3 linked regions of the Callithrix jacchus genome follow. The protein of the gene in region 2 interacts with the protein of the main gene of each other region in a pairwise test. Links are inferred from orthologs where the notes say so. Each region holds a gene or a part of one and is shown on either strand. Other genes may lie near its edges. The genes, in order: BCL2, BNIP3 and CLEC7A.

Region 1 (10,192 bases), on a different chromosome or scaffold from region 2:
TGTTCTCCATCTCCTGACCTTGTGATCCACCCATGTCAGCCTCCCAAAGTGCTGGGATTACAGACATGAGCCACTGTGCCTGGCTGGGAAGTTATTTTTTAAGCAGTTCATTTTTATTGTATGTAAACTATATGGACTACTTGTTTTTATTGTCTCTAGTCAGCTCATTTTATTTATGGATTAATTTCCATTTCAGTTGGGGTCATGGTTTATATATTTAACTCTTTCATCTGACCTATTAGTTATCAATATTCTCAGTTAATAGTCTCATTCTACCAACATTTTCAATAAAAAGTTTAATATCTGGGAAGATTTGATACATACACACACACGCACACACACACTTTTTTTTTTTTTTTTTTGAGGCAGGTTATCAGTCTGTCACCCAGGCTGCAGTGCAGTGTCGTGATCACAACTCACTACAGCCTCCACCTCCTGGGCTAGTGATCCTCCTGCCTCAGCCTTTCATGTAGATGGGACTACAGGCATGCACCACTATGGCTGGTTTATTTTGTATTTTTTGTGGAGACGGGATTTTGCCATGTTGTCCAGGCTGTTATCCAACTCCTGGCTTCAAGCAATCCACCCACCTTGGCTTCCCAAAGTGCTGAGATTACAGGCATGAGCCATCATGCCTGGCTGATAACATACCTATATTAAACATTAGTATGTTCATATTAAAATAATGTACCTTTTAAATTTTATAAACTTGGGTAACATTTATATTAATGGATGAAGCGAACTTTCTTGGATGAAGAGAATAACGCTGTGAAACAACCAGTAGGTGGCGAAAACTGGCAATAAAAAGCTTTTTGTTTGGTGGCCTAGGGAATGAAGACAGAAAGAAAACACAGGCCTTTCAGACTCTTGATACAATCTCCATTCCCCGCATCTTTTTTTTTTCCTCTTCCTGGTGTCACGCTACTTGTAGGATCCAACCAGACTAAGCTGCCAAAAGGGTCATCCATTGGCTCTTATAAGTGGAAAACATCTTGGAAAGTGAAAAGTCCACTGTGCATGTTTGGAAGGTCGTTGGAAGGTCTCAGGCACAGATCTAGGATTCAAATCCAGTTAGTCCTCCCTCAGGCTGGTGTTCGCTCCCCTGCCTCAGCATTGCCCAAAAACAATTGTCAATGTCACATACTTCCTGAAAATACTTGCCCTTATGCTTTAAAATGGAATCTAATAAACATGGAATCCGAACACAGGAATGGGTTCACTCTTTCAATTGAAAGAGTACCTAGAACATTCCAAGGAATATATAACCCTAGTCGAAGACTGCAATACAGACCTGTCTCAAGGCTGATTATAGCCAAGATGCCACATGAGGAATTAGTCTGGGAAAATCCATAGAGTGAGGCTCTATGGGAGCAAAGGCAGGCAAAACTCAGGAAGCTTTTCTTTATCTGGGAATAGGGGATCCATTTCCTTCTGCGGCTCCCTTTGCAGAAGTAGTTTTTTTGCAGGTTTGTCCTATCATTTCCTCACTCATATGCTGAGTATTAGTAACTTGAAACCTTTCAATTCCTCTTAGATAATTTGGGGGCTTTGCGCTTTCAAGATTTCTCAACCATAATGTGGAATTGGCATGAATTTATGTGAGAACATACATTCCAGGTCAATTTATACCCCGTGTCTATCCAGACCAGAACACCTCCCATGTGCATAAAAGGGACTCTGTCCCAATCATCAGAAGGGCAGGAAGGAGGATCTCTTTTCATCCCTCTTGCCTGGATAAGACATTTGTACCCAGGCACCCATTCCTGTGTGAGAGAAGTTGTCTCGTTGGGCTGATGGGATACGATAAATGAAGAAATAAAATAAAAATACCCGAAAGAGATGGCAGTGCTTACAGTCCTAGCCATTCATGAGGCTGAGGTAGGAGAATCCTTTGAGCCCAGGAGTTTGAGTCTAGCCTGGGCAACATAGCAAAAGCTATCTCTTAAAAAAAAAAAAAAAAATTAAAAACCAGCTAAGTAAAAATAATTTTAAAATCTGGTGTCCTTGCCAAAAAATGTTTTGATTTAGAGTAGGAAGATGTCAGGCCAGGCGCGGTGGCTCAGGTCTGTAATCCCAGCACTTTGGGAGGCCGAGGCGGGTGGATCACTAGGTCAGGAATTCGAGACCAGCCTAGCCAATATGGTGAAACCCCGTCTGTAATAAAAATACAAAAATTATCCGGGCTTGGCGGCGTGCACCTGTAATCCCAGCTACTCAGTAGGCTGAGGCAGGAGAATCTCTCTTTTTTTTTTTTTTTTTTTTTTGAGACGAAGTTTCGCTCTTGTTACCCAGGCTGGAGTGCAATGGCTCCACCTCGGCTCACCGCAACTTCCGCCTCCTGGGTTCAGGCAATTCTCCTGCCTCAGCCTCCTGAGTAGCTGGGATTACAGGCACGCGCCACCATGCCCAGCTAATTTTTTGTATTTTTAGTAGAGACGGGGTTTCACCATGTTGACCAGGATGGTCTCGATCTCCTGACCTCGTGATCCACCCGCCTCGGCCTCCCAAAGTGCGGGGATTACAGGCGTGAGCCACAGCGCCCGGCCCCGAGAATCTCTTGAACCTGCGAGGCAGAGGTTGCAGTGAGCTGAGATCCAGCCACTGCACTCCAGCCTCAGCGACAGAACAAGGCTCCGTCTCAAAAAAAAAAAAAAAAAATAGGAAAAAAAGAGCATATTTGTACACATTGTAGTATTCATTTGTCATCTTTCTTGATCACAATAATCTATTGTCCCTATATATTTGAACTTGAGCCCTATTAAGTAAGCCGCTGTGCTTCTGGTAAACCTTTTATTTTTTTTCTCGGTGTCTTATTTGTCAAAGACTCTTGGAGCTAAAAATAAACACGTGCAACTTGTTTGTCCTCTTGTCCTTTTCTGCTAGGGGCTATTCATTCCGATGAATTTAAAACTGATTGCACTTACACACGTCTGCGAGTGTGGATGTGTATATATCTGCGTACATCATTTGAGAAAGTGCGGCCATCTAGGATTGGCTACAAGGCAAAGGTGGAGAAAGGTGGAGACCTTTAGGAGCCCACCCACCCCAGCGTTAGGACGGTGGGCCCGAAAGTTACTATGCAGAACTCTTCAGCGTGCAGCCCTGACCCAGTGCAGAACGTGTTAGGGACAGAGGAACAACACGGACTTAAATTATTTTAAAGCCCTTGATAACCCCTCGCTGGCTCCTTCCGTGGAGCGCTGAGTTCTGCCTGGCCTTGGCCACGTACTGGATATTCACGGGGACACCGGCGAGAATGCGCGCGCGTGTGTAGTGCGCCGACACCTAGTAATCCACTTGAAAGTAAACACTACGCTGGGGGCGTCCCTGGATATTGCTTAAAACGTTTCAGAGTCGCCTGTTTTCACCGCAGGGCAGAGCTAAGGTCCCCCTGCTTGGGGGTGGGGGGTGGGGGTGGCATTGGCCTGGGTCTTCCCCCGGGGGCAGAGCGCGGGTAACATGGCGTGTGTGTGTGTGTGTGTGTGTGTAGGCGCGTGTACACACACACGGCTAGAAAGGGTCCAGGCGACACACACACACACATACACTCACTCTCTCACTCTCTCTCTCTCTCTCTCTCTCTCTCTCTCAGTCGGCTAGAAAGGGTCCAGGCGGTTCCCGGCGCTTTTCCAGCCCTTGTTTTCATGGCGCACCCTCCCGCCAGCCGCCCCCCTCCGCTCTCCGTCGCCGGCCGGGCCGCGTGCGGTTCCCCGGCAGCCCCCACCCCCTCGCGGACCCCGAGGTCCGCGCCCGGCCCTCCACAGGCCTGAGCAGAAGGCCCGCTCACACCCACCGCGCCGCGGCCGCGCGGGAGGCCTGCGCCGCCCGCGCAACCCGCGCCACCCACCGGCCGGGCCGGGCGAACGCAGCGGAACGGGCGGGTGGCCGGCCCGGGTGCGCCCTCCCCGGTCGCGGCCCCGCGCGCCATGTGCCCCCGGTGGGGTGCGCCGCTCCCGGGCCCGCCGCGGCGCCTTTAACCCGGGCCAGCGAGCGGGGCGGAGGGGGCGGTCGGGCGGCTCAGAGGAGGGCTCTTTCTTTCTTCTTTTTTTGAATGAACCGTGTGACGTTACGCACAGGAAACCGGTCGGGCTATGCGGAGAATGAAGTAAGAGGACAGACACCCCCGCCCCGCGCCCGCCCCCTTCCTCCCGCGCCCGCCCCTCTGCGCCGCCAGCCCGCCCGCCGCGCCGCCCGCTCGCCGCTCGCCTTGGCCCCGCCGCGCCGCCGCCGCCGCCGCTGCCAGCGAAGGTGCCGGGGCGCCGGGCCCTCCCCGCCGGCGGCCGTCTGCGCTCGGAGCGGGCTGCGCGGCGGGAGCTCCGGGAGGCGGCCGCAGCCAGCGCCGTCGCGCAGGAGCAGGAGGAGGAGAAAGGGTGCGCAGCCCGGAGGCGGGGTGCGCCGGTGGGGTGCAGCGGAAGAAGGGGGTCCAGGGGGGAGAACTTCGTAGCAGTCGTCCTTTTTAGGAAAAGAGGGAAAAAATAAAGCCCTCCCCCACCACCTCCTTCTCCCCACCCCTCGCCGCACCACACACAGCGCGGGCTTCTAGCGCTCGGCACCGGCGGGCCAGGCGCGTCCTGCCTTCATTTATCCAGCAGCTTTTCGGAAAATGCATTCGCTGTTCGGAGTTTAATCAGAAGAGGATTGCTGCCCCCGTCCCCGGCTCCTCCGTCGTCCCCCCTCCCCTGTCTCTCTGCCGGGGAGGCGTGAAGCGGTCCGGTGGATAGAGATTCATGCCTGTGCCCGCGCGTGTATGCGCGCGTGTAAATTGCCGAGAAGGGGAAAACATCACAGGACTTCTGCGAATACCGGACTGAAAATTGTAATTCATCTGCCGCCGCCGCTGCCTTTTTTTCTCGAGCTCTTGAGATCTCCAGTTGGGATTCCTGCGGATTGACATTTCTGTGAAGCAGAAGTCTGGGAATCGATCTGGAAATCCTCCTAATTTTTACTCCCCCTCCCCCCGACTTCTGATTCATTGGGAAGTTTCAAAGCAGCTATAACCGGAGAGTGCTGAAGATTGATGGGATTGTTGCCTTATGCATTTGTTTTGGTTTTACAAAAAAGGAAACTTGACAGAGGATCATGCTGTTCTTAAAAAATACAAGTAAGTTCTCTGCACAGGAAATTGGCTTAATGTAACTTTCAATGAAAACATTTGAGAATTTTTACTTAAAGTGCATTCGAGTAAATTTAATTTCCAGGCAGTTTAATACATTCTTTTTAGCCGTGTTACTTGTAGTGCGTATGCCCTGCTTTCAGCCAGGGCATACAGGAAAATGCACCTGATTTTTTTAACTTATGAGTTTGTTTCTTCTTTAACCTTTCAGCATCACGGAGGAAGTAGACTGATATTAACAATGCTTACTACTAACGTGCCTCATGAAATAAAGATCCGAAAGGAATTGGAATAAAAATTTCCTGCGTCTCATGCCAAGGGGGAAACACCAGAATCAAGTGTTCCGCGTGACTGAAGACACCCCCTCTTCCAAGAATGCAAAGCACATCCAATAAAATAGCTGGATTATAACTCTTCTTCTTTCTTTGGGGGCCGTGGGGTGGGAGCTGGAGCGAGAGGTGCCGTTGGCCCCCGCTGCTTTTCCTCGGGGAAGGATGGCGCACGCTGGGAGAACAGGGTACGATAACCGGGAGATAGTGATGAAGTACATCCACTATAAGCTGTCGCAGAGGGGCTACGAGTGGGATGCCGGAGATGTGGGCGCCGCGCCCCCAGGGGCCGCCCCCGCGGAGGGCATCTTCTCTTCCCAGCCCGGGCACACGCCCGGTCCCGCCGCGCCCCGGGACCCGGTCGCCAGGACCTCGCCGCCGCCGCCCCCAGCCGCCCCCGCCGCCGCCGCCACGGGGCCTACGCTCAGCCCGGTGCCACCTGTGGTCCACCTGACCCTCCGCCAGGCCGGCGACGACTTCTCCCGCCGCTACCGCCGCGACTTCGCCGAGATGTCCAGCCAGCTGCACCTGACGCCCTTCACCGCGCGGGGACGCTTTGCCACGGTGGTGGAGGAGCTCTTCAGGGACGGGGTGAACTGGGGGAGGATTGTGGCCTTCTTTGAGTTCGGTGGGGTCATGTGTGTGGAGAGCGTCAACCGGGAGATGTCGCCCCTGGTGGACAACATCGCCCTGTGGATGACCGAGTACCTGAACCGGCACCTGCACACCTGGATCCAGGATAACGGAGGCTGGGTAGGTGCACGTGGTGATGGGAGTCTGGGCTGAGGCTGCAGGTCCGAGATGTGGGGGTTGGAGTGCGGCGGGTGGGCTCCTGGGGTAAGGGGAGGCTGTGGGGCTGGTGAAATAAAATCAGGGTTGTTGCTTCCCGGCGTCCATAACCTCTTCCTCTGGACAAAGTGTTCTTTCCCAACCTGAGTGATGACGCCTGCCCTCTAAAAGTCTTTAACTTGCTCGCTAGTTGAGGAGGTCCAGTAGGATGTGGTGGTCAATGGTACCCCTTCAGTGTTTCTCGAGCTGGAGGTCCAGGAGTCCCCAGGACCACAGTTTCCTGGCCTGAGCAGCTTGTTGGGACCGGAGGGAGGTTTCAGGGCCTGCTTATGAACCAGATGCCAGGTTGGGTCTTGACAGTCTGCATCCTAAACAAGCTCCCCTGAGACACGCCCCTGGTGCACTTAAATTTGGGAACACCCCAATGAGAAGAACAGACTCCACAGAAGACTAAGGGTACGCTTTTTCTAACTCGGTAAAATTTTCCAAAAGAGGAAAACCAACCTGAGTCCCTTTCCCTGGAAAACTTAGTTGTGTTTGTAAAGAGCTAAATTGACATTCCAAAGTCCTTGCACTGGAATCTCCAGTGTGTGCCATATTTCCAGTGGGCGTGACGCAGTGTCTTGAGGGGTATTGGTCTATGGCTTTGCTACCTCGTCAGTGACAGAATTTGCATCGGCTGCATTCTTTATGTTCTATAATTTGTGTATGAGTTACTAATTCACTAGAATGTTGTTAGAATCTTTTGTTTTTCACTACCTAGAGTCGACATAATTTTGTGGTCTCCTGAAAAAGTTTGCATCTAGGTATCTATGTACGGTGTAGAAGAATTGATTGCTAGCTGTGGATTCTCTCATACCCCGACTTGAGTTGAAGTGATTGATACCTGTGGCTTTGAAGAACATATGTGAGATGATCTTTTTCTGGTTCTGTGCTAGACAGAGCTTTCATCATTATACCATACAGTTGTACTTTTCTGAGATTCTTTAAGGGAGGGGTGCAGCTCCTAAGATTCAAGGACTGTAATGGAGAGCTATATCTCATACCTAAAATGATGAATTTATAGAAAAGTAGTTCCTGTCTGAAGTGGGGTTTTTTTTTTCCAGTTTTTGTTTTAATCTGAAGAGTTATCTTTGAAAAAAAAAAAAAAAGGATGCAATTCAGTGCTTCCTTTTATAGTCTCTTGGGAGAATGACTAATGTCATTACTTTATAGGTCCTAACAGGAGAAAAAAGCCTAGAAATGACTGCAAGTGGATTAGATGTCAAGAAGCACACTACATGTTTTTATTACATTTCACAAAGTGTGCTCATATTAAGGGGCCAAATAGAGAAAAGGCCAAGAAAAGTAGATGATTGATGGGAACATCTGATCTTATTTGACCAAAGTTGGCAAAATATTGATGCCACTGTTTGGTGTTTAAAAGTAAGATGAACTAAAATACCCCAATTTAAATTTCTAAAATTTAAACGCTCTTCTCGAATTGTTTGTTGAGATCTCACGTTATCAGACCTTTAGTAATTCTGGAAGAATTTGCTGAAGGGTGAAAAGAATATTTTTGTTAAATATTTGGTTAAGTAGGTGGTTTGATTTTTAATCACCATAACCAAAGAGGTTGAGACTTCCAGACTCCAAACGGATCCTTTTAAAGCAAGTAAAACAGATGTAATAGTTTCACCATTTCATATTTTCATGAAAAATTCATATTTAAAATTTTCTTTCTAGTTGAAGGAAATCCAGGTGGTAACTGGTATCTGTCTATCAAGTTAATAAAAACAGGAAACAGAAACGCATGTTGATGACGGAATTAAGATACAACCTGATATTTGCTGCTGAATTTCAGTGTTATCATCTCATGGAACTGAAGTTTTTTTTTTAAGGAAAGGCTCACTTTTTTTCTTTTTTTCAAACAGGGTTTTCATAGTAGACCTATCTTTGTGGTCAACAGGTATCTGAGGTTGGTAAATGCAGAGGCTACGTTTTATGATGCCAAACCACAGTGACATACCATAGAACATGATAAACATTTTTTGACAAAACTGCTTCTAGTAAAAATAAATCATACAGAAACACAGATGGCTGATGGTAAAATACGTAATAGATATTTCAGAACAGAAATCTGTAAATTTCAGAATAATGCACAGATGGTGGCTATATAGGAAAACAAAGGAATTTAGAGTTTATATTTATAAAAAATATATATATATAATTATACATATATATGTTTATAAAATAAAAAATATATATTTATACATATATGTATTTATAAATATATTTTTATATATATACACACACACACATACATACACACCAGGAAATGCACTCATAGGACACTTTGGAATAATAGTAGTAGTGTTTGAGAATGATAAAGGATTTGCCTATCATTTCAAATGTGCATTATTAATCCAAAAGTTATTTTAGGCATGGCATACAGATTTTCTTCAAATTTACACCAGTCAGGGTTACATCTCTAATAATATGTTGTATTTTACAGTGTAAATAAGTCTTCATGGTAAAGCTTCAGAAGAGAGCTAGCATATTTTCTTGACACGTGCCAATAATCTGCACTGTCCCCAGAGTTCAGTGGATAAGCCCATCTCCTGAATGCTACCCTGAATACTCCAGACTTCAGACTTCAAGTCATCTCTTTTTCTTTGCTGCTGCTCCTACAAAATGAGAACCTTGCGAGGCTGAGGAAATCTTGTGTTCCGTAACATGGAGAAATCAGGTCCTTGGAATGATCAGCCTCTGATAGACTGTCCCAGAAGACTACAAATTAAATAAAGACTAAAGAAGTAATTGGGTGTAGAGTGGAGTGTGGCTTTATTCCTAGGTCTGAATAAGGCATTGTGTGGCATCCAGAGAGAGGCAGGACAGAGGAAGCAGCGAGAGAGCGGCAATTCTAGAAAATGTGGAAACCTTGCTGCTCAGTGTGGCTTACAGACCAGTAGCATGTGCACCCCCTGGGAGCTTCTTAGAGATGCAAAAGCTCATCTCCCACCCCAGAGCTCACATATTCTGAGTCAGAATATGTGGTCTGTGCACATTGAAGTTAGCGATGCTGGCTACCATCCTTGGTTCCTGGTGGCATCTTTTAGGAAGCGTTGCTACCTGGGATGGATTCTGCATTGGCCCCTTCCAGTGACCTTAAAGATCTGTAGTATTACTTGGAATTCTGAATATTCCGCTATTGTTATCTGACTTTAGGAAGACATGAATTGGGATGAAGGAGAGATAGCAAGCAGGTAGATTACTACAAGCCCAGTCTTCTCGCAAATATTTTTCATGGTAGTTACCCAATTTGTATCGGCATCACTGGTCCCATTAAGAAGTAAGATAGCTTTTCTTCTGCAATTAAAGTCAAGAGAATGAACTCTTTTAATAGCTCTGTTAGTTATTATTTTATCTCCTCCTGACACAGTTTAAATTCTGGAAATTACTTTAGTGACCTTGCAACTGCTGTAAGACAAAGGGACTCTTGCAGGCAGGAGTTGTGGGCAAATGATGGTGAGTGGCTTCCCAAACTGAACTGTGATGACATTCAGCTTCACGTCTTAGGAGAGAGTGAGATATGGACTACTAGAAAAATGAGATGATTCAGACAGGAGACTGGAGGAGATGAGCTTAATTTTACTGAAGAGACGGTAATCCATCTTTTGGTCCTTTGGTGTTGGTGGTTTAGGAAGATGGGAACTTCTCCACACCTGGTAGAGTTCAGCTTCCCTTTCATTAGTTAGTCAGCAAGCAGTTTTTCCTTTCTGAATGCAGTCCACATCCAGCAAAACATTTGATTAACTAGAAAGCAATACCATTCTCATGCCAGTGTACAAATTATATGAAAGAGCATCATTTTTCTAGTATCTGAGGATTGGCTGTGTATGGCCAATTTTGGCAGCGAAACGACAGGATTAAAAATAGCTTGAAGACGATCTAGTCTTAAATAATATATTTCATGATGAAC
Region 2 (10,119 bases):
AGTAATTCTGGAGCAGCCAAATGGAAATGACATATAGACCAGAACCCCAGCTATCCCAAATGTCCAGACCCTAAGCCCTAAACCCAACCCTAACTCTAATCCAAAACTAACCCCAACCCTAAATTCACATGTACCAACCCTAACCCTAACTAGGCTCTTCACGACCAGACCCCCAGCCACTCCACATGTCCCAACCTTAACCACGCTCTCCGCACCTCATATGGCTCCAGAATGTCTACAACGCCATCTCCAGTCCCCTCTCCTCCTAGGAGGGACTTTCCACCTCTACCTATCCGAGGGCTGCCCTTGAGCCACCTGACTGAGTTATTCTGAAGAGGCTCCTTACAATTTACACCAAAAACGGCTAAGCAAGGGGCACCTTTGGAGTTCGCTGCTAATAAGGTGACTTTATGAGTAGCAGAAATCCTGGCCAGGCTGCTCTACCTATGGAGTCGCCACCCTTTCATTTTTTTGCTTTCTAAACAAATGTGCTTAAGACACTTACTGGCCAGGTGTAGTGGCGCACGCCTGTAATCCCAACACTTTGGGAGGCCAAGGCAGGTGGATCACCTGAGGCCTGAAGGACCAGCCTGACCAACATGGTGAAACCCCTTCTCTACTAAAAATACAGAAATTAGCTGGGCTAGCTGGCGCACGCCTGTAATCCCAGCTACTCAGGAAGCTGAGGCAGGAGAATCCCTTGAACCTGGGATGTGGAGGTTGCAGTGAGCTGAGATCGCACCACTAAACTCCAGCCTGAGCAACAAGAGTGAAACTTTGTCTTTTTTTTTTTTTTTTTTTGAGACAGAGTTTTGCTCTTGTTACCCAGACTGGAGTGCAATGGCGCAATCTCGGCTCACGGCAACCTCTGCCTCCTGGGTTCAGGCAATTCTCCTGCCTCAGCCTCCTGAGTAGCTGGGATTACAGGCACGCGCCACCGTGCCCAGCTAATTTTTTGTATTTTAGTAGAGACGGGGGTTTCACCATGTTGACCAGGATGGTCTCGATCTCTTGACCTCGTGATCCACCCGTCTCGGCCTCCCAAAGTGCTGGGATTACAGGCGTGAGCCACCGCGCCCAGCCGAAACTTTGTCTTAAAAAAAAAAAACAACTTGCTGCTAGGAAATCCAGGGGGTTAGGTGCTGTGCATCAGAAACGAGGGTCAAGGCCAAAGTATACTATATTGATCTTACAGGGGAAAAGTGAAGACCACGGAGGAAGATGGCCTGGAAACAGTGAATCTGTCTTCATCTGTCTGTGCTACTGTAACAATCCCACAGACTAAGTGATTGACAAACGGAAATTGATCTGTTCTGAAGGCTGGGAAGGTCAAGGTCAAGGCAACAGCAACTGGTATCAGGTAAGGGCATTCCTGCTCCATCCCTTCAATGAGGGCAGAGGCACCCACCTCCCTCCATCCAGCCCCTTAGAGCACTAATCCCATTCACAAGGGAGGAGCCCCCGTGGCCTAAGCACCTCTAAAAGCCCACCTTTACTATCATCCCACTGGCAACATGGGAGGGACACAGTCAAAACAAAGCAGTGCTTTTAAAAAATCGCCCCAGAAAGAGTCCTAAGCATCCTGGAGACAAGGAAAAAAACCATTCCGTATTGTCTGTGACTAATGACTTTGGGCCCAAAAGCTGTATTCCCAGGAATGATTTACTAAGGGAGAGGAGTTACTGTTTACCTACGCAGGGTAGGAAAGGCACTTCCTGGAGAACAGAGTATGCTGTGAATCTACTCAAATGTTACAATTCTCCAATCTAATCATTCACCTTTTCAAACAAAGATGGGGATTAAGGTTGCTTAACGATCTTAAAAAACTTGCTCACGGCAGGGCACGGTGGCTCACACCTATAATCCCAGCACTTTGGGAGGGTGAGGCGGGCGGCTCATGAGATCAAGACCATCCTGGCTAGCACAGTGAAACCCGTCTCTACTAAAAATACAAAAAATGAGCCAGGCATGGTGGCACCTGCCTGTAATCCGAACTACTCAGGAGGCTAAGGCAGGAGAATCACTTGAACCCAGGAGGTGGAGGCTGAAGTGGGCCACGATCGTGCCACTGTACTCCAGCAGCGTGGAGACTGGCTCGGGAAAAAAGAAAAACACCTGCTCGTGATCACAAGTCCTCTACTTAAAATGACTGCAGTAATCAGGCCCGGAAAGCAAGCTGATGCAAGAAAAGCCCTCAGCCTTTTTTTTTTTTTGACTGAGTTTTTCTTGTCACCCAGGCTGGAGTACAACAGCACAGATTTCCGCTCACAGCGACCTCCGCCTCCTGGGTTCAGGCAATTCTCCAGCCTCAGCCTCCCGAGTAGCTGGGACTACAGGCACCCGCCACCACGCCCAGCTAATTTTTGTATTTTTAGTTCCGACAGGGTTTCACCATGTTGGCCAGGCTGGTCTGGAACTCCTGACCTCAGGTGACCCTCCCACCTTGGCCTCCCAAAGTGCTGTGATTACAGGTGTGAGCCACCACACCCAGTCGAAAAGCCCCCATCCCTAATCTCATTTCCCATCCCTCTCTTTATGTTCCTCCCCCTCCTCACTTACAACTTACATTGGTAACAAGACACGCAGGGAGTAAATCTTGCCTCCCTCCTAACAAGGCAGATGAGATTTTGAAAAGCCTAGACTATAAATATTTACATCACATTACAAAAAGGAAGCTGATAGGTCTGCCTCAGAGACAAAATACAATCCAACAACAGTTCTTAATCCATTTCTTATTCTTACTCTGTGGTTTAAGTCATCTGACATCCAGCTTCTCTAGGTGCCCCAAGCAGTTCTCTCTATAGTGACAGACTCCAGGGAATCCCTTAGATTCACTGCCCCTCTATGTCCCAGGGCAAATGCCCTAGCTGCACTCCTCAACACGGATTCACCGGCTGCAGCCAAGAGCCCCACGTGGAGTAAACGCAGGGCCAGTTCTCAAGGCCGTCCTCTGCCCTCATCTGGATGACAGTCTCAACTCTGGCTATGAAGGGAAAATCACCTGTGCTGTTTGTTCATTGTTCTCCAAAAGCCCAGCCGCAGCCCACTCTGAAAGCGACTATTTGGGATGCTAGGGTGGAATCCAGGCAAATACACTGAAAAAGCTCTTGGATAAATGTCAGAAGAGAGGGAGCCAGCATCCCCAGAAAAAAAAAAGCCTGAAGCAGGGAAGCTGTCAACCCCAGAGGGAACTAGCACTCCCAAGACCATATAAAGGGCTTCTTCCCCACGGGAAGTGGGCTCTAAGCAATTGCTGTTTTATGGACCAGGCTCCTTGGCTATTCCAGCACTTTGGGAAGCAGAGGATCATGAGGTCAGGACATCGAGACCATCCTGGCTAACATGGTGAATGAAATCCCATCTATACTAAACATACAAAAACTTAGCCAGGTGTGGTAGCACGCGCCTGTAATCCCAGCTACTTGGGAGGCTGAGGCAGGAGAATCACTTGAACCTGGGAGGCTGCAGTAAGCCAAGATCATGTCACTGCACTTCAGCCTGGGGGACAGAGTGAACACTCCATCTCAAAATTTAAAAAAAAGGAAACTGCTTTTATTTTTACCTTTAAAAGCTTCTCAGGTTAATGGGAAGAGGAACAAAAGAGACTTCCCTGGCAAAAGACTTCAAGCCTCATGTCAGCCTGGCAGGTAAATCAGGTCCCTGGCTTCTGACAGGGCTCAACCTTCCTCTTGCTAGGCTCTCCTCCAGGACCCTGGCTATCTAATCAGCCTCAGGCAATCTGGGCTCCAGGTATCCATCCCTCCAGTGCTTAATGCAGAGTCCTCGGCTTTTCCTTAATTATTGTTGCTGGCATTCTTCTTCACTCCACCTCTAGAACCTCACTGTGACCATCGTCTTGGATGAGAATCTAGACGTCTGCAACCCCTTCAGGTCTAAAACCGCACAATGCTACAATTCCCCTCCAAAGTAAGTACAAACATTTTTCTCCTCATACAGCTCTGCCCATGGTGAGTTGCCTCTGATAAGAGAACCATCTGCCGGTGCAGACACAGCAGTGGGTGAAGGGGTGAGGGCTTGGATCGTTAAACACAGCCGCTCCAGAGTAAATGGGCCAACGCTTTACTGAACCGATGCCCTCCTGAAGACAGTGCGTCCTTGAAGGAAGGAATGCCCCCACCCCCACAACCCTGGCGGCGTCACCACAGAATCCTACCGCTCCTGCATTTTAGCAGTGGCATGTCTACGGGAAAACGGCCGAGTTGAAGGCTGCAGTGAGCTCCAGTGATTGTGCCACTGCAATCCAGCCTGGGCGACAGAGTAAGGAATAAAAAGGACACATATGAGCATCCTGCTAGTCAGCAACTTTAGCTAGAATCATCAAGAGACAGAAGGGACAGAATCAGCCCATCTGCCGTTAACTCCTCAGGAAGAGCAGCTGACCCCAGAGGGTACAAGCAGAGAGTGTTTGCTGCTTCCATCTGTGGGTCTGGCTACAGGGCTCCCACACTTCCCTGTTCCGAGGTAAACAAGGGACAGAGAAATCAGACCAGACGGGGTGAGTGCTGCCTGAGCCACGGCTCCGCGCAGGATTTGAAGGCGGCTGGAGCCCGCGGGACCGGCCGACCCCGCCCACGCAGAGCCCACGGTGGCCCCATTCTGCCGCGCAGACACCCAGGACGGCCCAAGGAATTGCCAACCTGGGTTCCACCCCACGCGTTAAGTATCTTATTACAGAATAAACAAAACAGAAAAACAAAAACCTAACTCCAGCGCTGATCGTCTTGCACTGCCGATGACTCAGCAGCCTATTTAAGTTACGGACTGGAGAGGAACAAGCCCCTGCGGAGCCCCCTCCACCTCCCAGGGCCCGGATCCTAGCCGGTCAAAGAAACACACCGTGTCCTTGGTAACTCAGCTTCACAAACGGAAAATGGGTGATTTTACAGCAAAGGAAACATCTCTTGGATTTTACTTTATGACAAAAGACAGAAAAATACCCCTTAATCTATTTCAGAATAGTAATTATCCAATGTTTACGTTTCAAGAGGAAAAAATCCAAATTACAGGATTTTTAAAAATATGGTTCTAGGCCAGGCCGAGGCGGGAGGATCACTTGAACCCAGTTCAGACCAGCCTGGGCAACATAGTGAGATCTCATCTCTTAGGAAAAAAAAGGTGAAAAAAAATATGGTAGTGTTCAAACATACATAAATTATTCGATATATTATGGAAACTAAGTTCTGCCTAGTAAAATCTTGCTTTTGTAATAAAATTAGCAACTCACTAAACTTAATGTAAATACATGACTTTCAGAACTGTTCGTGAAAACTGAAAGTTCATTGGCAGAGGTTTCAGCAGTCCTTTCCCAAGCTTATTTACTTGCTAATTTTGCTTTGTAAACTCTGGCTTCAGAGAACACAAAGGTCAGCTGCCACCATCCCTCCCCCGAGGCCTGGGCCCTAGGGACCCTGGGAAGGCAGCTTCTGGACCCGCTTCCCTGAGCAAAGGCTCATCTGGGCTCTGCACGTGTATTTACCGGGTGGGGAGGGTCTCCATGCCACCTGGCTGTGCGTGGGGCAAGTCCTGAACCGCTGGTACTGCGAACCTAGCAAAGGGCGCACAGCAGGCCTCTACGCGGGCATTAAGCAGGCTGCAACGACTGGCTGCTCTAAAGGCGGCGTCCTTTTGTGATTTTTAACCCGTAGGTCATTTAAAGCTTTGTTTCGGAACGATCCTCTAGGAGAATCGGACCAAGTCCATTTAATGCCAGAATCTAACAACGCTGTCACCCCCACCCATTTAACTTCAGGAAATCCCAATAGTCACCACGGACTTCAACAGCAGCCACAAAACTAAAGCACTTACAAGCCACGCCTCGGTGTTTACTCATTAAAACCAATGCTAGGGCGGGCGTGGCGGTTCACGCCTGTAATCCTAGCGCTTTGGGAGGCCGAGGCGGGTGGACCACCAGGTCAGAAGATCGAGACCATCCCGACTAACACGGTGAAACCTCGTCTGCTAAACCCACCAAAAATTAGCCGGGCGAGGTGGTACGCGCCTGTGGCCCCAGATACTCGGGAGGCTGAGACAGGGGAGTCGCTTGAACCCGGGAGGCGAAGGCTGCAGTGAGCCGAGGTGGCGTCCCTGCGCTCCAGCCTGGGCCACAGAGCGACGCTCCGTCTCGAAGGCAAATAAATAAACAAAACCGATGCTGGTCTGAACTACAGACCGCGGAGGGCAGCGTGGACTTCAAGAGGCTGCCCGGGCCAACTGGGAGACGCAGAGCCACCTCCAGGTGGAATTCCAGCCATCGCGAGGCTGGAGAATTGGGGCTTCCCCGCGCGGTACGACCCGGGTCCAAGCCACCCCTCGCCCCAGCCAGGGGGCCGCGAACCCGGAGCAGCGCGCGGAATCCCCACGCCCCGGGCCCCGCACGCCCGCCGGAGGGGTGGGCACCGGAGAGCAGAGCGACACGGCCTCGGTCGGCCCGCGATGCCCCCCCCAGGCCTCCTCTCGGCCTCTGTCGGCGCGCCCCGGCCTACCCCCCAGCCTCCTCTCGGCGCCCCCTCGGCGTCCCCCCGGCCTCCCCGGCCTCACCCTGCAGGCTCTCCTCCTGCATCCCCGGCGCTCCGCTCTGCGACATGACGCCGGAGGGCGGCTGCGGCGATCAGAGTCCGCGCCGGGCTGCGGGCTGCGGGCTGCGGGCTGCGCGTAGACGGCGGACGGTGAGAAAGTGGGCACGGGGACGCCGCGGCCCAGCGCTCGGTGACTGAGCGGAGCCCCGCCGCCCGGCCAGAGGAACTCACCGGGTAGGGCGGGGCCGGGCGGATCTGCGGCCGCGACGCCCATTGGCCGCGGCGCGGGACCTGCGCGTGCGCAGGGGCGTGCGGTGCGTGCGGCACGTGTGGCGCGTGCGCGGGGCGGGTCCTGGGGCGGGCGAGGGGCGGGGACTGCGGTGCGCGGGTCGCAGGCGGAGAGAGGGGCGGGGCGAAGGATGCGCAGACGCGGGCGCGGGCGAGACCGCCTGAGGTGAGCCAGGCCGGGCGGAGCGTCCCGGGCCGCGTGACGAGTGGGCTGCGGGGTCGCCGACGCGGCAGGCGGTGGGCCGGGTTTTCTTTTAGAGGGGCGGTGGGACCGGCGGACGCGCTAGGCTCTACCTGTCACCCCGGCGCCGCCACGCTTCGGGGCGGGGAGGGTCTCTCCATCCTAGTGTGGGGAAACAGGTGCGGGGAGAGCGACGTCCCTGCGGGGGGCGTGAGGACGTGCGGGGAGAGCGGCGTCCGTGCGGGGGGCGTGAAGACGTGCGGGGAGAGCGGCGTCCGTGTGGGGGGGCGTGAGGACGTGCGGGGAGAGCGGCGTCCGTGCGGGGGGCGTGAGGACGTGCGGGGAGAGCGGCGTCCGTGTGGGGGGGCGTGAGGACGTGCGGGGAGAGCGGCGTCCGTGCGGGGGGCGTGAGGACGTGCGGGGAGAGCGACGTCCCTGCGCGGGGCGTGAGGACGTGCGGGGAGAGCGGCGTCCGTGCGGGGGGCGTGAGGACGTGCGGGGAGAGCGACGTCCCTGCGGGGGGCGTGAGGACGTGCGGGGAGAGCGGCGTCCGTGCGGGGGGCGTGAGGACGTGCGGGGAGAGCGACGTCCCTGCGGGGTCGTGAGGACGTGCGGGGAGAGCGGCGTCCGTGCGGGGGGCGTGAGGACGTGCGGAGAGAGCGACGTCCCTGCGGGGGGCGTGAGGACGTGCGGGGTGCGTGAGGACGTGCGGGGAGAGCGACGTCCCTGCGGGGGGCGTGAGGACGTGCGAGGGGCGTGAGGACGTGTAGGGAGAGCGGCGTCCGTGCGGGGAGAGCGACGTCCCTGCGGGGGGCGTGAGGACGTGTAGGGAGAGCGGCGTCCGTGCGGGGGGCGTGAGGACGTGTAGGGAGAGCGGCGTCCGTGCGGGGGGCGTGAGGACGTGTAGGGAGAGCGGCGTCCGTGCGGGGGGCGTGAGGACGTGCGGGGGTCGTGAGGACGCGCGGGGGTCGTGAGGACGCGGGGAGAGCGGCGTCCGTGCGGGGGGCGTGAGGACGTGCGGGGGCGTAGCTGCTGCGGTTCCTGGGCGGCCGGTGGGGCCGGTACGGTCGCTGCGAGTGGTGGGCCGGAGCCGAGGCCGCGCCCCCGGGTCTCTGCCCGCCCGGCCGGGGCGCCCCTGCTTGAACAGCGGGGCCGTTGTGTCTGGGGGCGTCCGCTCACAAGGAGCAGCGGAGGCTCAAGTGGGGCGGAAGATCCGCCCGAGGGAGACGCGGACCCCAGGGGCCCGGAGAGGCGCGCCGTCCGCCTCCGCGGCGAGGGGTTTCCGGGGGCGGGCGGGGCTCGGGGCGGGGTGGCGCCGGGCCGGGTGGGTACCGGGCTAGGGGAGCCGGCCTGGCGGCCTCGGGCCTGGAGGGAGGCGCGCGCTCTTCAGAGGAAAGGCTCGTTTCCCGCCCTTTTTCCCAAGAGTCTTTCTCCGTGGAAGCATTGACGACCCAGATCCAGGTGTCGCGTTGTGCCCCCGAAATACTCCTTCCCAGACAGCCGGGTCTGGCCACGCGGGGAAGGCGGAGGCCCCCGACAGCGAACGGGGACGCCAGGTGCTCAGAACCGGAACCGGGATCACCGCGCGGAGAAACCAGACCTCCGTCACTGCGTGGATTTCACCGCAGCTCTTGCTGTTGAATCGGCCCTAGTATTTGGAGTGCCATGATTTTGGTTTTCTCGAGCCCAGTGTGGGAAACAGGCCTTTCATCTCAGCACTTTGGGAGGCCGAGGCAGGAGGATCGCTTTGGCCCAGGAGTTGGAGACTAGTCTGGGCAGCATGGCGAGACCCCTTCACTACCCCCCAAAAAAAAAAAAAAGAAAAATCACGGCATCGTGGTACCTGCTGTGGGAGGATCACTTGAGCCCAGGAGGTGGAGGCTACAATGTGCCATGATCAGGCCACTGCACTCCAGCCTGAGCAACAGAGTGAGACCCTGTCTCAAAAAAAAAAGAAAAAGGAAAACAGCCAGAGATACACAGCATTAATATTTCCAATAGTAGAACTATAATGCTGGCCAGGCAGTGCCTCTTGCTTTAATTCCAGCATTTGGGGGAAGCCAAGGCAGTAGGATCACTTCAGCCTGAGAGTTCAAGACCAACCTGGCCGACACAGAAAGATTCCATCTTTATTAAAACAAAAATGTTACCAAGTGCCCACTTTGGGAGGCCGAGGCAGGCAGATCATGAGGTCAGGAGATCGAGACTATCCTGGCAAACATGTTGAAGCCCCATCTCTATTAAAAATATTTTAAAAATTAGCTGAGGATGGTGGTGGGTGCCTGTAATTTCAGCTACCCAGTAGGCTGAGGCACAAGAATCGCTTGAATCCAGGAGGTAGAGGTGGCAGTGAGCCAAGGTCACACCACTGCTCTCCAGCCTGTCCACAGCAAGACTGCATCTCAAAAAATTAAAAAAAAAAAATTGTGCCAAGTACAATGCACATAAGGATTACAATAAAAAAGAGAATGTGTATGCCAGAATGAAAAAAGGAGCCTGTTCTGCTAGGGAGTCCACTAAGAGTATTATGCAGGTAATTAAACAGAGATTCTTCTTCAGAGACTTGTAGCCAAGTAGCTTCTAATTTTTCCCAGGTGAGTTTCTACTTAATGGTAAGAGTTTATGTGTGCACAACAAGAGGTATTTGCCACCGTACCTACGCTTGCTCGCTCAGCTAATAATCGAAATCAGTGCAGTTGTCCAGTCTAGCTTTAGCCATTGAGTCTGTAGCTTTTTGTTGAGCTGCGAGGGAGGCAGCGGTTTTATCAGCAATATTTCCTGATAGGCCAGATATGCTGGCGGACATCCCAAGTAGAAGCAGATACCGACAGTGCACTGGAATATTAAAGCACTGCGTAAATCAGTCACAGTAAGTGTCTCACTTCCAGCTGCCAAGAGGATGGGCTTCGGTACTCCCAGATGCCTCGCCATCACAGTGTTGATGACAGCCCTCAGATCTTACACAAACTGCCACCTCTTCCCGTTCCACCTCCTTGCAGGAAGGATTGGAGTGTTGCATGCTGGTGCAAGGAATAATAGACCCTTTTAATAGAGTCTTTTGTCATGGATCTTATTCCTTCCGTTGCTTCAGGCCTTAGAGGATATTGCCTGATA
Region 3 (9,714 bases), on a different chromosome or scaffold from region 2:
ATTTGTGTTTGTTTCCTTACAGGGATTTATATTAAAGCAAGTATCTTCCCAACCTGATAATTCATTCTGGATAGGCCTTTCGAGGACCCAGACTGAGGGACCATGGCTGTGGGAGGATGGATCAACATTCTCTCCTAACTTGTAAGTGTTTAGAGACACAGTGCTTCATCCTCTTTCGCAGAGGGAGGTTTTCACCTCATCTGTGAAAACCTCTGGCAAGCGACTAAGAACCTGATTTGCTAACCATATTTGAGAAAGAAAGGCATGAAAGAAGAGAAAGAGTGAGCTAGGACAAAAGGAGAAGAATGAGGAGGATTCGAGAGCGAAAAGGAGCCGAGAGGCCTTCTAGCGCCATCAACACCGATGTTCTTTTGGTTTTCTTACCAGGGAGGCATCCGACATGTTGAGGTTGTCCAGGCAAGGAGCAGTCAGTCAGTCAGTGTAACCGTCTGGTTAGGAACGTCAGTTTTGAAGCCAGGCCTCAATTCGGGTTATTAGCCCACTCACTGATTGTGTGACATTGAGGATAAGTCATTTTTCCTCTCTGAGTCCCATTTTTTTATATCCATAAATGAGAATAGAAAGAGTGCTCTGGGCCAGAAGTACTGGCTTATGCCTGTAATCCCAGCACTTTGGGAGGCCTACGTGGTCAGATCACTTGAGGTCAGGGGTTCGAGAACAACCTGACCAACATGGCAAAACCCCATCTCCACTAAAAATACAAAAATTAACTGAGTGTGGTGGCATTTGCCTGAAATCCCAGCTACTCAAGAGACTGAGGCAGGAGAATTGATTGGACCTGGGAGACCGAGGTTACAGTGAACTGAAATCATGCCACTGCACTCCAGCCTGGATGACAGAATGGGACTCCAGCGAGACTCCAACTCAAACAAAAGACAAAAACAAAAGAAAGGAAGAGTGCTCGTTTTTAGAATTATGAGTTGGGTATAAAAGTAAAATTATTGGGCTGGGTGCAGAGGCTCACTCCTGTAATCTCAGCACTTTGGGAGGCAGAGGGAGGAAGATCATCTGGGATTTGGAGTTCAACACCAGCCTGACCAACGTGGAGAAACCCTGTTTTTACTAAAAATACAAAATTAGCTAGGCGTGGTGGTGCATGCCTGTAATCCCAGTTACTTGGGAGGTGAGGCAGGAGAATCACTTGAACCCGGGAGGCAGAGGTTGTGGTGAGCTGAGATTGTGCCATTGCCCTCCAGCCTGGTCAACGAGAATGAAACTCCATCTCAAAAAACAAAAGAAAGAAAGAAAATAAAGTTATTTAGCACAGTGTCTTGTACATAGTTAATGTGTGATACTTATTATTAAGTTAAAAAGTAACCACATTTTCACATTTTGCATTTTAGAAAGATGTTTTAAATGTATTTCGCATTTGCATGAGTATACATTATTCCTTATTATGTGTTGAAGTCTTTGTCACTGGTATTGTCATTCATTTGCTTTTCCTTGTTCAGTTTTTCTTATAAGACTTTTTCTTTACTTTTCTTTTTTTTTTTTTTTTGAGACAGAGTTTTGCTCTTGTTACCCAGTCTGGAGTGCAATGGCACGATCTCGGCTCACCGCAACCTCCACCTCCTGGGTTCAGGCAATTCTCCTGCCTCAGCCTCCTGAGTAGCTGGGATTACAGGCACGCGCCACCATGCCCAGCTAATTTTTTGTATTTTTAGTAGAGACGGGGTTTCACCATGTTGACCAGGATGGTCTCGATCTCTTGACCTTGTGATCAACTCGCCTCCACCTCCCAAAGTGCTGGGATTACAGGCGTGAGCCACCGCGCCCGGCCAACACTTTTTCTTATTCAGTTTTTTTATCTGTTCATTTGGAATGTGCTCTTTCACATCTTTTACATTTCTTTTACTAATCTTTGAGTAGTTGTTCCTGGAATTATATACGTAATCTTCACTCATCAAAGACTAATATTGACTGGCATTTTTATGTTCTTCCTGATCAATATAAAAATTAATAGAGCATTCCTTTACTTTGTTGATGCCCTCCTCAGTTTATATGCTATTATATTAATGTACTTATTTTAATTTTATCGCCCAGGCTGGAGTGCAGTGGCACGATCTCAGCTCACTGCAACCTCTGCCTCCTGGGTTCATGTGATCCTCCCACCTCAACCTCCTGAGTAGCTGGGACTACAGCTGTGCACCACCAGCTAGGTGTGGTGGTGGGCACCGGTAATCCCAGCTACTCAGAGGCTGAGGCATGAGAATTGCTTGAACCCGGGAGACGGAGGTTGCAGTGAGCTGAGATCATGCCACTGCACTCCGGCCTGGGCAATAGAGATAGATTCAGTCTCAAAAAAAAAAAAAAAAAAAAAAAAAAAAAAGCCCTTGTTTGGGCTGGGTGCAGTAGCCCATGCCTGTAATCCCAGCACTTTGGGAGGCCGAGGCAGATGTATCACTCGAGGTCAGAAGTTTGAGATCCAGCCTGGCCAACATGGTGAAACCCCATCTCTTAAAAAAAAAATACAAAAGTTAGCCAGGCATGGTGGCACACAGCAATTTATGCAGTTAGTATTCAATTCAATTTGCCCACATATTTATGATTTTAATTATTTATTATTTCTTCCTTTCCTACTCTACATTTCAGGTATTTTTTCTTAAGACTGATATTTTCAATAAGTATAGGATTAGGAGTTTGTTGTTTTTGCTCTCAGCCACTCAAATACGTTATTCCACTTTTTTCTATTTTTTATTGTTCTTTCTTCTTCTTCTTCTTCTTCCTCCCCTTCCTCCTCCTCCTCCTCCTCTTCTTCTTCTTCTTTGTCTTCTTCTTCTTTTTTTTTTTTTTTTTTTTGAGATGGAGTTTCGCTCTTGTTACCCAGGCTGGAGTGCAATGGCACGATCTCGGCTCACTGCAACCTCCGCCTCCTGGGTTCAGGCAATTCTCCTGCCTCAGCCTCCCGAGTAGCTGGGGTTACATCGTCTTCTTCTTCTTCTTTTTGTTTTTTTCTGGTGCCGTGACCCAGATCCAATATTCCTTTTGCGAGTTCATCTGTTTGAAGGTAACATGTGGCTTAAATCTGATGTCTTTACTCAGTAATGAAAAATTCTCAGCCATACTTGCTTCAAATTTTGTGTTTTCCCCATCTTATTTCCCTTCTCCTAGAATCCCAGTTACACTCATTATAGATCCATTTACAGCATCCTATATGTTTCTTTTGCTTTTTCCTGTGTTTTCATTCTTTTTTATCTTTTCACTCCAATCTATGTAATTACCCTTCACATATCTTCCAGTTCATCTATTTTCCTCATCTGTGGCTAATCTGCTATTAAAGGTCTATATTTTTTATTTTGTTTGGTGACATTTTCAGTTCTATAATTTTAGTATGGTTTTTTTCTCAAATCTATTTTTTCAACACTTATACTTCCATTTTCCTTCCAGCATTCTCAGTACTGTCTTTTAACTCTTAGAATACACTAACCATAGTTGTTTTAGCATGTGTCTGAATGTCCTGTATATATCTGTCTATATGTAATTCCAATGTCCTATATGTATATATGTCTCTGTCTCTCTCTCTCTCTTTCTTTTTACTACTTTTCATTTGTGTTGACTAGTTTTCTTTTATGTCAGATTGCTTTTTATAGGGTGTTTAACACTGTATCTTAAAATCTTTGCAGAATTAATTCGAAGTGTTTTTTCATTTGCCTCTGTTCTCACCACAGAGTCTGTTCACCCAATGGTGTGAATGGTACCGACTGCTGAGTATAATCACTTAACTGTTTTACTTCTACTAGGCCAAGTACAGTGAATGTATTAACAAACAATCGGCCAAATGTATTTTCTACTTTTTTATAGAACTTGTTTGTCTTGAGTTTTCTTTTGCTGTTTTAAACATATGGCTAGAGGACTCTTTCTATAATCACAAGCGTGGGCCCAAGTTAACGTTTTGTTTGATATGTTAGTACTCTGTGGTTTTCTTGGTGGCATTTATTTAATCCAGCCCCAAAACACTTAGATGTCAAGGAAAAATTTTTAAAAATAATGCTGATCAGCGTTCTCCCTGAGGTATAAACTAAGTAGTTAATCCTAGTCTTAGTCATCTCTAGAGCAAAGGTTTCTCAGTCTTCCAACCTCAGCGTCAAGAAGAAGAGATAGATACCCAAGACAAAGAGCGCCAAGTCATAGCTTTTGCACTGAGGTGCAGTGATCCTCTTTGAGCTTGACTAATTAACACTGCTCCTTCAGGATTTTGAAGACCAAATTGAATAGGACAGTGCTTCCATTTACCAATGTTGATTACCATAACTGTCAAGCATTGTATTGTGATATAATTCTGCTTTCAGGATAAATTAAAATAAACAAGAGTTGTTTGCCCTTCCTTTAAATGACCTGATTTAAAGGCATCTATGATTCTTTTTTTTAGTTCTTGATTCCTTTCAGCATTAATACTTCTGCTTGGTCTACTCACTAAGTATATTCAATAATAGTTTCACTGAGCTGTTGCTTGATTTGATAAAGAAACATCTAAGTAATAGGTTGAAAGATATATAAAGAACTTTTAATAGAATATTAAATGATTTTTCTTCTTTGCCAGGATCTTTTTTAAGTTTATGCAACTAGTCTTATTTCTTGAATAAAAAAATTGTGTCATTTTTCTGCCTTAAGAATGGAGACTATTCATTTAACCACTTGAGATTAAAAACAATTTAGATTTAAACCCCTTTTTCCAATAATATAAACACTTCGGAACTCTTTTCACCAATATCCTTACTAATTTATTTGAGTGCCATGTGGACAGTATTCCTTAACATTTGTTCTAATTACATCATTGTATTCTATTTTAACAGATTTCAGATCAGAACCACAGCTACCCAAGAAAACTCATCTCTCAATTGTGTATGGATTCATGTGTCAATCATTTATGATCAATTGTGTAGTGTGCCCTCATATAGTATTTGTGAGAAGAAGTTTGCAATGTAAGGGATAGGGTAGAGGAGGAGGGAAGAAATACGTGAGCTAGTAAGGAGGACAGAAAACAGAACAGAAAAGAGTAACAGCAGAAGTCAAAATAAATGCAGAAAATGTTCAGAGAGCTTGGCAAACTGTAATCGTACCCAAGAAATTGAAAGGGGAGGCTGTGGTTTCTGTATTTGTTGACCTACACATAGGCCAGTATTATTGTTCTAGTTAGTAGATCTCTAGACATGGAGTCAGGGCAGTCAAGCTTGAATTTCTTTTCTTTTCTTTCTTTTTTTTTTTTTTTTTTTTTTTTGATAGAATCTCACTTTGTTACTCAGGCTGGAGTGCAATGGCGCGATCTTGGTTCACTGCAGCCATCTCCTCACCTCAGCTCCCCCGAGGTAGCTGGGACTACAGGTGCATGTCACCATGCCTGGCTAACTTTTGGTATTTTTTGTAGAGACTGGGTTTTGCCATGTTGACCAGGCTAGTCTCCAACCCCTGGGCTCAAGTGATTGCCTGCCTTGGCCTTCCAAAGTGCCGGGATTACAGATGTAAGCCATCACGCCTTGCCCCAAGCCTGAAGTTTCATTTTGCCATTGACTTGGTATTTACCTGGGATAAACCATAAGATAATCTTAATTCCCGGCTCTATTAGAGTTGTTTTTGTACTCAAATATGCCATTGAAGTGCATGGTTTGTTGCCACAATTTGTCCCTTAACTTCTAGCAGTATGGAAACTGCTCTCAAAGGAAAGTTTTCTGCTTTTTAAACGCTAGCAACCAAAAAATACACAAAGTCTGTTGATGAATATAAAAAAGTAATCAATCTAATTGGAACAAGCATTAACATTTTGTAATATGAAACATGCTTTATTAGTTTCCTGATGTACTGTTTTATAATTTTTATCATTTTTTTCAGTAACTACTGCAAAAAGGTATTATTGGAATGAAACTATATTTCCTCATGTGCTGATTTGTCTCTTTTCTTTTTTTTCATACTTTCCCACTGGTGCTATTTTTATTTCCAGTGGATATTTCTATATTACTGGGGAGGCATTTGCAGCCCTCTAATGTCAATTAATATGTGAAAAGAAATTGTACAAATTTCACTAAATTATTCACTTTAAAATGGCTGATTTTATGTTATGTGGATTTCATCTCAATAAAAAAAGAAAACTCTTATCAAAAAACCCCTAGCCTCTAAATTATGTGCCCATGTGTCACAATCACTATCACGATTTGCCTTCTCCCCAAAAAATGAATTTGGTGTGGGTGGAGGGAATATTTATAGTAGATATTTTGATATTAAAGCATTAATTAGAGTTCTTAAAAATTTTTTAAATCTAAGAGAAGATGAAGATTTTTGTGAGGTTTACTACTGTTTAATATGCAAATTTATATTGTCATTATTTAAAAATATGTAGAAAGGGATGAGACAGATAGGTGCAGCAAGCCAGCATGGCACACGTATACCCATGTAACAAACCTGCACATTCTGCATGTATATCTCAGAACTTAAAGTAAAATAAAAAAAATAGTTGTACTATATAATAAACATAAGAAAAAGAAAGGGAAAAAATGACATAAGAAAAAACTTTCAATGTCAAAAACCACAATAACTTTTGCACCAGCTTCATACTATCTTTCTTGTATATATCTGCCTTTCTCCATAGAATATAGTCTCTAAAAGAACAGACAGCTTTGGTGTACATGGGTGTACACAACAGTCTGTGACTAGTACTTGCCATATAGCCAATAGTCAAAAATATTCTTGTTATTGTTGAAAAAAACAAATTTTAAGGAAAAGTAGTATAAATGTTAATGTATGTTGTTTATCAAAAATTCTGAGGAATATACTTGAATAACAACTGAAGTTTGTGACATGAAATAGTTCTAATTGCTATTTTATGAGACTCATAATTACGGGTGCCTTTTTCTGATCCCAGCTGTTATCATTTTTAGCACTCTATCTCTGTTTTATTCACATATGGCCTTCACACACCTTCATCTTCACAATTCCGACTACCTTCTCTGTCATATGGCTCTCTGATACCCAACCCAATGCAAACAAATAATTTTTGATTTCCTACTCTTACAAGGAACTACGCAAGAGGAAGATATTTGTATTTTTAGTTATGTATTTTTTTTAATTTCAATAGCTTTTGGAGTACAAGAGGTTTTTGATTACATGGATGAATTATATAGCAATGGATTCTGATTGTAATGCACCTGTCACCCACCTGAGTAGTGTAAATTGTACTCAATACATAGGTTTTAATCCCTCCGCCTCCCTTTTCACCTCCCACTTCTGAGTCTCTTAAGTCCATTATATCACTCTGTATGCATTTGCCTACTTATAGCTTAGCTTCCACTTATAAGTCAGAACAAAAAGTTTTTGGTTTTTCATCCCTCCCTGAGTTACTTAGAATAATGGCCTCCTGCTCTAACCAAGGTGCTATGAAAAATATTATTTCATTATTTTTTATGGCTGAGTGGTAGTCCATGGTGTATATATGCCGTATTTTCTTTTCCACTCATTGGTCAATGGGCACTTAGGTTGGTCCCATATTTTTGCTACTGTGAATTGTGATGCTATAATCATATATGTGCACGTGTCTTTTTCATATATAATGACATTATCCTTTGGGTAGATACCCAGTAGTGGGATTGCAAGATAGAATAGTTGACCTACTTTTAGTTCTTTGAGTAATCTTCATACTGTTTCCATAGAGGCTGTACTAATTTACATTCCCACCAGCAGTGTGTAAGCATTTCCTTTTCACCACACTCATGCCAACATCTTTGTTTTTTGACTTTTTAATAATGGCCATTATTGTAGGAGTAAGCTGATATCTCATTGTGGTTTTTTTTTTTTTTTAAGACGGAGTTTCGCTCTTATTACCCAGGCTGGAGTGCAATGGCGCGATCTCGGCTCACCGCAACCTCCGCCTCCTGGGTTCAGGCAATTCTTCTGCCTCAGCCTCCAGAGTAGCTGGGATTACAGGCACGCGCCATCATGCCCAGCTAATTTTTTGTATTTTTAGTAGAGACGGGGTTTCACCATGTTGACCAGGATGGTCTGGATCTGTCGACCTCGTGATCCACCCGCCTCGGCCTCCCAAAGTGCTGGGATCTCATTGTGGTTTTAATTTGCATTTCTCTGATGATTAGTGATGTTGAGCATTGTTTCATATGTTTGCTGGATGTTTGTATATCTTCTTTTGAGAAATGTCTATGTATGTCCTTTGCTCACTTTTTGATGGGATTATTATTATTATTATTTTCCTTCTGATTTGTTTGAGGTCCTTGTAGATTCTGGATATTAGTCCTTTGTTGGATGCATAGTTTGCAAATATTTTGTCTCATTCTGTGGGTTGTGTGTTTACTCTGCTGACTATTTCTTTTGCTGTGCAGAAGCTTTTTAGTTTCATGAGGTCTCATTTATTTATTTTTGTCTTTGTTGCATTTGCTTTTGGAGTATTAGTCATAAATTCTTTGCATAGGCTAATGTCCAGAAGAGTTTTTTCTTATTATATTCGGTGATTTTTATACTTCCAGGTGTTAGATTTAAGTCTTTGATCCATCTTGAGTTGATTTTGAGGGCTCTAGTTTCATTTTTCTACATGTGGCTTGTCAGCCTTTCCAGCACCTTTTATTAAATAAGGTGTTATTGCCCCAGTTTCTGTTTATGTATGATTCATCAAAAATCAGCTGTCTGTTAAGTATTTGGCTTTATTTCTTTTTCATGGGGGGGTTAAATTTTTATTTCAAAAGCTTGGATGGCTTCAATATCCAGGTTGTGGCAAAATCAGGACACATGTAAAATACCTTATATTAGATTCCCAAAAGGTACCAAAAAATACAGTAAAATTAACACTTCCATAATAGGAAATGTATGACACAAATAATATGAAATTAAAAGGTGAAAAAATGTGACACTGGTTTTCTAAGAAACAATTTATACTTTACAACCAGGGTCCACAGATCCAGGCTGCAGAGCCAGGCAGCAGGAAGCAGAGACTGCCATCTGGGGAACCTGGTAATAAGGCAAGAGAATCGCTTGAACCCTGGAGGTGGAGGTTGCAGTGAGCCGAGATGGCGCCATTGCACTCCAGCCTGGGCAACAAGAGCAAAACTCGGTTAAAAAAAAAAAAAATCAGCCCACAATGCGCTCTGGTCTCTCAAACACCACACGCTGCCTGAACAACTAGAGCTCTGGAATTGGTAAACAGGAGAGTGATTTCCATGGGGGGAATTTTAAGTAAGAGGCACACGGGACAGGCCATAGAAAGTTTGCCAAGTTACATTTGGTACGTAATTGTGTTCCCTCCATATCCTGACAAAGCGAGTGTGCGGTCAGTTGGTCTCTCCTGCCGCCGCCTCAGTGTGGCTTGTCCTGATGGCCACCGTGTCTCCGGCTCTTGCCGTAGTTTGTATCACCCTGACCTCCACCTCCTCCACCGCCTCTGCTGCCTCGGTTCCCTCGTGGAGGGTTCCAGGGCCCCCAGAGCCATACTGCTGCTGCTAATAAACTGCTTTGGGCTGGGCCACCTTGACCTCACGCTCGTTTCCACTGATAGTATGGAACTTTTTCTCCAGAACCTTCTTCACGGGTTCTTTTTTAAAAGGTGATAAACGGGCCGGGCGTGGTGGCTCAAGCCTGTAATCCCAGCACTTTGGGAGGCCGAGGCGGGTGGATCACGAGGTCAAGATATTGAGACCATCCTGGTCAACATGGTGAAACCCCGTCTCTACTAAAGATACAAAAAAATAGCTGGGCATGGTG

The links.
Region 1: the proteins of BNIP3 (region 2) and BCL2 interact in a two-hybrid assay, tested with the Homo sapiens proteins (2 studies listed by BioGRID and IntAct). The link is inferred for Callithrix jacchus from reciprocal best matches to the Homo sapiens genes BNIP3 and BCL2.
Region 3: the proteins of BNIP3 (region 2) and CLEC7A interact in binary tests that used the Homo sapiens proteins (3 or more experiments, as listed by UniProt). The two-hybrid records come from large-scale screens. The link is inferred for Callithrix jacchus from reciprocal best matches to the Homo sapiens genes BNIP3 and CLEC7A.

What each region holds. Positions count from the first base shown.
Region 1 is NC_133514.1:106,288,831-106,299,022, reverse strand, and holds the start of BCL2 (apoptosis regulator Bcl-2), read left to right. Parts: upstream 1-4,204; 5' UTR 4,205-5,101; intron 5,102-5,324; 5' UTR 5,325-5,607; coding exon 5,608-6,195; intron 6,196-10,192. UniProt on the Homo sapiens protein: Suppresses apoptosis in a variety of cell systems including factor-dependent lymphohematopoietic and neural cells. Regulates cell death by controlling the mitochondrial membrane permeability. Appears to function in a feedback loop system with caspases.
Region 2 is NC_133513.1:125,279,872-125,289,990, forward strand, and holds the start of BNIP3 (BCL2/adenovirus E1B 19 kDa protein-interacting protein 3), read right to left. Parts: upstream 6,733-10,119; 5' UTR 6,605-6,732; coding exon 6,559-6,604; intron 1-6,558. UniProt on the Homo sapiens protein: Apoptosis-inducing protein that can overcome BCL2 suppression. May play a role in repartitioning calcium between the two major intracellular calcium stores in association with BCL2.
Region 3 is NC_133510.1:12,872,423-12,882,136, forward strand, and holds the end of CLEC7A (C-type lectin domain family 7 member A), read left to right. Parts: intron 1-22; coding exon 23-141; intron 142-4,814; coding exon 4,815-4,947; 3' UTR 4,948-6,118; downstream 6,119-9,714.